2 linked regions of the Callithrix jacchus genome follow. The protein of the gene in region 2 purifies or fractionates together with the protein of the main gene of each other region. This does not show direct contact. Links are inferred from orthologs where the notes say so. Each region holds a gene or a part of one and is shown on either strand. Other genes may lie near its edges.

Region 1 (4,387 bases), on a different chromosome or scaffold from region 2:
CTTGAACTCAGGAGGCCGAGGTTGCAGTGAGCTGAAATCACATTGCTGTACTCCAGCCTGGCCGACAGAGTGAGACTCCATCTCAAAAAAAAAAACTTTTTGCTCTTGCTAAATTAATAGGAATACAGTTTGCATGTCTTTGAAGCCTGGTTGTCTTGTCTTAGGGGATTCACCCCTCCCAGGAGCTGGCTATGCTGTGGGTCTCAGCCCCAGAGGACAGGGACAGCAGGTCCTACCTTGCCCAAAGGCAGCTCTGCCCAGAGCCTGCGTGGCGTTCTCAAAGCCCAGGGCCCGGCAGACGACGCTGGCATCAGTCAGATCCCACAGGCTGTCACACACAGTGCCCCACTGGCCTCTGTAGAAGATCTCCACACGACCCTCATTGGCAGTGGCCCCATCAGCCAGCCGCATGTCACCATCGTTCACGGCTGCAGGGAGAGACCAACAAGGGTGAGGCTGGAGCCTGCAGCGCCCCCCCCACGCGCCAACCTCTAGGGCCCCCACGCTGTCCTGGGACTCCCCTGCTGAGCTTGTTTTCCAGTGCTTCAAGGTCCCCCTGCCTCTCCGTGAGGGGCACCTCTGTGAGGGGGAGTGGAAGATACATACAGACCCCCTACATGGAGGCTAAACATGCCGTTCCTTGTTTTAGGGGTCTCAGCCCTTCACTCCATAGACAGAACGGGGCAGAGAAGCCCTGGGTTCTCCAGCACTGGGAGTGGAGGTGGCAGGACCCCGAGGGAAAGGCGGCTCCATGCTAACCCCTCCTGAGGGTGTCTGCAGTTTGCGGGTGCTGGCCTAGTGGGGACAGCAGGCCTAGGGACCCCTGGGAGCACAGGCAGAATACTTCCAGGGCAGAGAATGGGATTCCTACCCCACACATGACCTTCTGGGACTCTGCCCACTGACATTCGCCCCTACAGGAGCTGGCAGAGCCTGGTAGGAGCTGAATTCAGTTGGGGGCACGTCTGGCTTCTGTGGGGCCCCCAGGATGAGCATGAGTCTCCAGGGGCTCACAGGGTAAAGAATATGAGGAAAGGCAGCCAGGACCCTCTGGAAGCTTGACCTGCATCCAAGGCCATGGACCCCACAACACCCCGTGACTGCTGCTTTGATCAGCTCCTCTGGTTCCCTCTGGATGGAATGGAGAATTCCCTGGTGTCCTCTCTATAACCTGCAGCTCACCTGAGCCCAGGTGAGCCCCTGGAACCTCCAAGCCATGATCACTCAGGATACCGGAAGAGAGAAGATTCGGCTAACCACCGGGCCTCAGACCCCAGGCACAACCTCTTTTGGGCATTGTGCACAGACCCAGGGTGCAGCAGCCTCACAGACTTTTGCTTTTGGCATTTCCCAGGGACTCAGCTCACCTTGGGTCCCTGCAACCAGCAGCCACATCCAGAAGAGCCTCAGAGGGACCATGGCCTTGCCTGGACGCATGGATCCTGCTGTGGATGGAAGCGGTGGAGTGAGGCACCGGAGCCCGGTGGCCCGATGCCGGGGGACTGGCCTGCCCATCCACCCTTCAGCCCGACCTGGGCTGTGTGGCAGGCAGGGTACCTCTCCTGCAGAGCCCACTGTGGTCTTGGTAAGTGTGATGGACGCTGTGGTTGCCCCCACAGGGGCTCCTCACCTGGTCTGCAGCATGGTCCTGGAAAGATGTGTTAGACTTGGCTAGATGAAGGGGTGGGCTGGGGGTGGCCCCTGGCAGTAAGGACAGCAAGAATTGGTGACTGGAAGTGAGTGAGCCCATCTCAGAAAACCAGGTGCCGGGCAAGGCTGCCGCACAGGCATGGGGGAGGGTGGAGCGGGAGGAGGCCATGGGCGAGGGCCTTGGAAAAATGGCCAACTGGCCAGGTGCGATGGCTCATGCTGTAATCCCAGCACTCTGGGAGGCTGAGGTGGGTGGATCATTTCAGGTCAGGAGTTCGAGACCAGCCTGGCCAACATGGTAAAACCCCATCTCTAATAAAAATACCAAAAAAAAAAAAAAAAAAAAATAGCTGGGCACGGTGGTGTGAACCTGTAGTCCCAGCTACTCAGGAGGCTGAGGCAAGAGAATCGCTTAAACCTAGAAGGCAGAGGTTGCAGTGACCTGAGATCATACCACTGTACTCCAGCTTGGGTGACAGAGCAAGACTCTGTCTCAAAAAAAAAAAAAAGTGGACAATGAAGCACCAGGCAGGCACCATTGCTGCCCTTTGGGTGGCAGTGGCTGGGTATATTTCCCTGATTCTTTCATATGGAAAGTTGAGACCGGCTATCTGTGTTGACCCCTAGGGTGCCTTCATGTGAATTGAAAAAAAGGTACCCTTCGTTGGGGTGGGTGCAGGCCTAGGCTCAATGCACAGACCTGAGAGGGCCAAGCTGATTTCCAGCCCACTTGCCCCTTTGGCTGGTATCCTTGTGTAGTAAGCAATCTGCCCAACTGTACAGAGATGGGCCTGGGAGCAGCAAGGATAGCTCCAGGCCTATGTGCAAACAGGGAGGAGTGACCCCCATTTGCCTGTGTAGAGAGAGGGGTGCCCTGGCTGGGCACGGTGGCTCACACTTGTAATCCCAGCACTTTGGGAGGTCGAGGCGGGCAGATCATAAGGTCAGGGGTTCAAGACCAGCCTGGCCAACATAGTGAAACCCTGTGTCTACTAAAAATACAAAATTTAGCCAGGCATGGTGGCAGGCATCTATAATTCCAGCTACTCGGGAGGCTGAGGCAGGAGAATCTCTTGAACCTGGGAGACAGAGGCTGCAGTGAGCTGAGATCGCCCCACTGCATTCCAACCTGGGTAAAAAAGTGAGACCCTGTCTCAAAAAAAAAAAAAAGAGAGAGAGGCGGGGGTGCCCACCTGAGAGCTGGAGGCAGGAGCTTACCTGGCTGGAGCGGCTGTGATGGCTGTGCTGGAGCCTCCTTGCTTCCAGCTCCAGGAGCCCTCTGCAGACTGGTCCTTCGACCCAGAAGCCTCTCCCAGTATGGAGCGTGGTCAGGCTGATCCCAGGAAATGCTTCAGGAAACAGTCAAGTTTCGATTTCCAGAAACCATCTGACATAGATGCCTTCTGGGATTGGCTGCTGACGACACTCCCGGGGGCCCCTCTCTTTTGTCTCAGCTCTGCATGTGGGTGTCAGTGCCGGGATGGCAGAGGCCCAAGGCGGGAGTCTGGCTGGAGCAAGGCCCGAAAGAAGACTGACAGCCACAGTCAGTTGGAAACGCCTCCAGGCCGGCCAGGGGCTGGCGTTTGGGGGACAGGAGGGGAAGAAGCAGAGGCTGTGGGCCCAGACAGTTTGTTCCTGTGGGTGACAGAGCGCTCTGAGTCCTTTCCTGGGTCCAGCACATTGCTGGCTGGGTGGACACTGCACAGGTGGTTGCTCATGTGCAAATCCACCCTCTCCGAGCTCTTGGCATGCTCACCACACAGAGGGCCTGTTCCCTGCAACGCTGCGCGGTACTGTCCCCTGTCCCAGGGGAGGGAGGCCCTGAGAGCCAGGTGTGCAGCTGGCCAGTGGAGGAGCTGGACCCCGCTCCAGCACCTGACCCTAGACCCTGTGTTCACACTGCTGGACCTGTGGCTGCTCTCCTGTCTCCCCCTCAGCGGGGCGGGGGACAGAGCCTCTCTGGGGTGACATAATGGTTCTGTCCACTCATACCCATTCCTTTTCCCTACTCTGAGCACCCCTTCCCACTCCTGGCTGTGTGGTTCCCAGAGGGCACCCGGCTCTTGGCCTTCAACCACCCCAGGTCTGGCTGTCTGAGCCCTGAGGGGCCCTCCAGGCCACATGGATGGTTCCAGGGTGGAGCTGTGAGCCCAGCCAGCCCAGTGAGAGCTGGCTTCCGAGTGAGAGGATGTGGGCCCAGGCTGCTGGGGCCCATGGGGCAGAGCAGAGAGAAGCAGAGATGCTCCCACCTGCACCCCTGGGTCCAGCTGGCCTAATCTGTGGTCAAGCCCAGGCTTCACCGCTCAGTGAGGCAATCAGCAGCCTCTCATTTCTTCACTTGCAACCCATGGTTCTGGGTTGAGCCTTGGGATGTGCCCAGGTCTCTCTGACCAGTGGTTCTCAGCCTGGCTTGGACAGAAGAATCATCAGGGAGTCTTACAAACTCCTAATGCCCAGGCCCAGGAAGTCACCATCTCTGGGAGTGGGGGACAGGCAGGGGCATTTTAAAAGCCCCCAGGCAGTCCCAACGCGTGGAAATCCCTGGTTCCCTGGCAGCTTAGAGTCTGAGACACGGGCCCAGAGGACAGACACTGAATGACTGTTTCCCTCAAAATGTGAGGTTTTAGGCAGCTGCGCGGTTCGCCTGATCCCTCCAGAGGAACTGTGGAGATCCAGGGGCAGATGCAGCTGGAAACAGAACTGGCAGAGAAGGCTGTGGGGAGTTTGAAAACCCCAT
Region 2 (4,254 bases):
GGATTACAGGGCTGAGCCACCATGCCCAACCCTAATTAATTTTTTTGAGACCGGGTTTCTATTGCTTGAGTGCGATGGCACAATCATAGCTCACTGCAGCCTCAAACTCCTGGGTTCAAGCAGTCCTTCTGCCTCAGCCCCCCAAGTAGCTGGGACTACAGGCACATGCCACTACATCCAGCTAATTTTCATATTTTTTATAGAGATAGGGTTTTACCATGTTGGCCAGGCTGGTCTTGAACTCCTGGCTCAAGCGATCTGCCCTCCTAGGCCTCCCAAAGTGCTGGGATTACAGGTGTGAGCCACTGCACCTGGCCCCGGCTAATAGTTTTTATTTTGTAGAGATGGGGTTTCACTATAGTGCCTGGGCTGGTCTCAAACTGGGCTCAAGTTACCCTCCAGCCTCGGCCTTCCAAAGTGCTGGGATTACTGGCGTGAGTCAGTGCACCCGGCTCTTCGATTTCAACTACCTTGTTCCTCCTGTAGGACCTTCACTTAGCTTCACCCGTCTTGTGCTTTTTCTTTCTCCTCTCCCTTCTCTCATTGAGTCTAAGACGCCCCCCAAGGGTTGTGCTCTAAACATTGTCAAATCTTGCCCCCACATCGTACATTCTTCTCCATCTGTTTTCTCTGTCAGGTGCTGGAAACGTGCATAGCAACAGTAGGTCGAGTATCCAACGTTGATCATAACAAACGGGTTATTGGCAAGGCAGGGCGCAACCGTTGGCTGGGCAAGAGGCCTAACAGTGGGCGATGGCACCGCAAGGGGGGCTGGGCTGGCCGAAAGATTCGGCCACTACCCCCCATGAAGAGTTATGTGAAGCTGCCTTCTGCTGCTGCCCAAAGCTGATATCCCTGTACTCTAATAAAATGCCCCACCTCCTGTTTTTATCTGTTACTGTTTTTTGCGGGGGAGGGGATGGTACAGACAGAATGTGGGGAGAAGCAGTAAAAAGTGTCGGAAGATAAAGACAGGACACTGTGGGTCTGCCCCCACCCCAGTTCCCTTACAGGTAATGGAGCCCGAGGATGGAAATTAGTGACGTCCAAGGCCTTTTCCAGTTCTGACTTTGGGAAACGGGGAGGGCACTTCCGGCAGGAGGGAGGACAAAAAGGAAGAGGAAAGGGCGGCGCAGGGAAGGAGGTGCTGCGTCGCCAAGGTGGCACCCGCAGCTCCGCCCCAGCGCTCTCCCAGGGCCCCTAGCTTTCCGCTGGGTCTGGCGGAAATGAGCCGTGGCTTTTGGCAGGCGGAGTCACTGGCAGGGACCAGGCCCCACCCTGCCCCAGTGGCTGCCGACCCACGCGGGCGCTGCTGTTCTGTTCCGCAGAGGCACACCCCCTCAGATCTCTCCGTCTGGATCCCCTCGCGGGGCCCAGGTGGGACCCAATTCGTCGTCAGCGTCTGTGCCGCGTCCCTTGCTCTGTGAAGGACAGGCCTCGCGTCAGGACCCCGGTGGACTTCTGAGGTGGCCAGAGCCCCGCTGCGGCCCCTTGCTCCTCCCCTGACCACTTGCCCGTGGATCCTCGCGCTCACTTGACCTCGGCCCCGCATCCCACCGTGTCTCGGGGTTCTAGTTTATGGGAGTTAGCCCCTCTCCCCCACCTTATAGCGCGCGTTCCAGGCTTCTCGGGTCTCCAACCTCGGTCCCCCAAGCCTCGCGCCCCTCCCCTGCCTGTTCTCCTGTGCACCCTGCCCTGGGTCTCACAGCGCCCCCACCAGCCCTCTTGCTCCGGTTGCTCCAGTCAGAGGTGCCTCCAGCCCATCGCGCCTTGCCCTCAACCACCATTTCTCGGGTCTCTTAACTCTGCGACTCACACTCCCATGTTCCAATCGTAGAGACAGCACCCTTTTCCACACACACACTCGCGATCTCCTTCCCAGCCCCCCATAAATCTACCCCTCTGGGCTTCACATGCCCCCAGGGTTGCTGCCTGTCCCAAAGTCTTGGAATTCACTTGTAAACTCCAAGGCTGCCCTGCCCCCACTGTCTGCCCACTATTCCAAACCCACCCACTCCAGGCTGCAGGGTTTTGGGGACCTTCCTTTTAGCCCCCAAATTTTGTGTTCTTTCACAACACAACCCCCGTGTTCTCTGCTTAGGCCTGCCCCCATCCAGCGTGCAGCATGCAACTCCTGGGCCTGGCTTTACCCCACCCTGCCCGACAGCTGTTGCCATTTGCTTCCCTAACTCCTGGATGTCTGATTTTTCTGACCTCTCCTTACTCTAGCTTGTCTGTTCTCTCTTCCTTGTGTGCTCCAGGTGCCAGGATGGTGGGGGAACTCCGCTACAGGGAATTCAGGGTGCCCCTGGGGCCTGGCTTACATGCCTATCCTGATGAGCTGATCCGCCAGCGAGTGGGCCATGATGGGCATCCTGAGTACCAGATCCGCTGGCTCATCCTGCGGCGTGGCGATGATGGGGACGGGGTCGCTGGCCAAGTGGACTGCAAGGCTGAACATATCCTGCTGTGGATGTCTAAGGATGAGATATATGCCAACTGCCACAAGATGCTGGGCGAGGATGGCCAGGTCATCAGGCCCTCCCAGTCTGCAGGGGAGGTTGGGGCCCTGGACAAATCTGTACTGGAGGAGATGGAAACTGATGTGAAGTCCCTCATTCAGAGAGCCCTTCGGCAGCTGGAGGAGTGTGTGGGCACCATCCCTCCTGCTCCTCTACTTCACACTGTCCACGTGCTCAGCGCCTATGCCAGCATCGAGCCCCTCACTGGGGTGTTCAAGGACCCAAGGGTCCTGGACTTGCTCATGCACATGTTGAGTAGTCCCGATTATCAGATTCGCTGGAGCGCAGGCCGGATGATACAAGCCCTGTCCTCCCATGATGCTGGTGAGGGGCAGTGTGGGGAGGAAGGGAAAGCAGAAGGGCTGGGTCGGCTCAGGGACTCACAGGACACTGTGGCAGGAGCCTCTAATCTCATCAGTACGTAAATGATTCTGTTGCCCTTCTCTTAGAGTTGGAAGAAAAGGAGGTGGGAATGGGGGTGAGGGCGGGGGGTATCTGCCAAAAGAGGAAACCCTATCTTCAAAAATCTCATGTTAATTAGTTACTTTTTATGCAAAGGAAGAATTTAGACTATTGCAGATTGTGTGTGTGTATATAAGTTAGCAAATTTTAACTTTTGAAGCAAATCAATGATTTCCCACTGTGTGGTGGCAAAAGGATTGGATTGAAAGAGTAGACGGTCCAAGATTTTAGGAAGGGTGAGGTTGGGGAGAAGTTACCGATTGGGGTGTGGGTTACAGGGACCCGGACTCAGATCCTTCTGTCACTGAGCCAACAAGAAGCCATTGAGAAACACCTGGATTTTGATAGCCGCTGTGCTCTGCTAGCACTGTTTGCACAGGCCACGCTCTCTGAACATCCCATGTCTTTCGAGGGCATTCAGCTACCACAGGTAACCTTTGGGGTGTAAGGTGGGGGGAGCTTGTGAACCAGATCTAGGGACTGAGTCTTTGCACCTGTCTACAGAGGATGGTGTGGAGAGAGGGGCTTAAAATGGGACAAGATGGATGTAGACCAAAGATTGTATCCCACAGGTCCCAGGAAGGGTGCTCTTCTCCCTGGTGAAGCGGTATTTGCATGTCACCTCACTTCTGGATCAGCTGAACGACAGTGCTGTGGAGGCAGGAACCCAGAACACCTCTGCTCCTGAGGAGTTGAGTGGGGAGAGGGGTCAACTGGAGCTGGAGTTCAGTATGGCCATGGGCACCCTGATCTCAGAGCTGGTGCAAGCCATGCGCTGGAACCAGGCCTCAGACAAACCAAGGAGCTCTGCACGGTTCCCTGGTTCCATCTTCCAGCCTCAGCTGACAGCTGTGAGCCCAGGGCTCCCCACCGCCCAGGCTCAGCCCTCCTTCAGGAGATCAAGACGGTTTCGCCCTCGTTCTGAGTTTGCAAGTGGCAATACCTATGCCTTGTATGTGCGGGACACACTGCAGCCAGGGATGCGAGTACGGATGCTGGATGATTATGAGGAGATCAGCGCTGGGGACGAGGGCGAGTTCCGGCAGAGCAACAGCGGCGTGCCTCCTGTGCAGGTGAGTGGCACACAGTGGTGGGACACTGCTGGGGGTCTATTTGGGGTGGGGCAGAGCTGGGGACTTCCCCATGGAGGGGCTCCAGCAGGCCACCCAAAGAGAAAGCTTTTAGTAAGATTGGGATGGTGGGCCAGTCACAGTGGTTCATGCCTGTAATCCCAGCACTTTGGGAGGCCAAGACGGGCGGATCATGAGGT

The links.
Region 1: the proteins of CUL7 (region 2) and LGALS3BP purify together in Homo sapiens (affinity purification with mass spectrometry; 3 studies listed by BioGRID and IntAct, with this or other methods). This does not show direct contact. The link is inferred for Callithrix jacchus from reciprocal best matches to the Homo sapiens genes CUL7 and LGALS3BP.

What each region holds. Positions count from the first base shown.
Region 1 is NC_133506.1:134,725,328-134,729,714, forward strand, and holds the start of LGALS3BP (galectin-3-binding protein), read right to left. Parts: upstream 2,970-4,387; 5' UTR 2,869-2,969; intron 1,446-2,868; exon of another isoform or gene 1,443-1,445; 5' UTR 1,438-1,442; coding exon 1,368-1,437; intron 429-1,367; coding exon 237-428; intron 1-236.
Region 2 is NC_133505.1:51,530,472-51,534,725, reverse strand, and holds the start of CUL7 (cullin-7), read left to right. Parts: upstream 1-1,222; 5' UTR 1,223-1,226; coding exon 1,227-1,377; exon of another isoform or gene 1,378-1,466; intron 1,467-2,261; coding exon 2,262-2,939; intron 2,940-3,262; coding exon 3,263-3,414; intron 3,415-3,556; coding exon 3,557-4,057; intron 4,058-4,254. Other genes in the region: MRPL2 (large ribosomal subunit protein uL2m), read left to right, coding at 638-850. UniProt on the Homo sapiens protein: Core component of the 3M and Cul7-RING(FBXW8) complexes, which mediate the ubiquitination and subsequent proteasomal degradation of target proteins. Core component of the 3M complex, a complex required to regulate microtubule dynamics and genome integrity.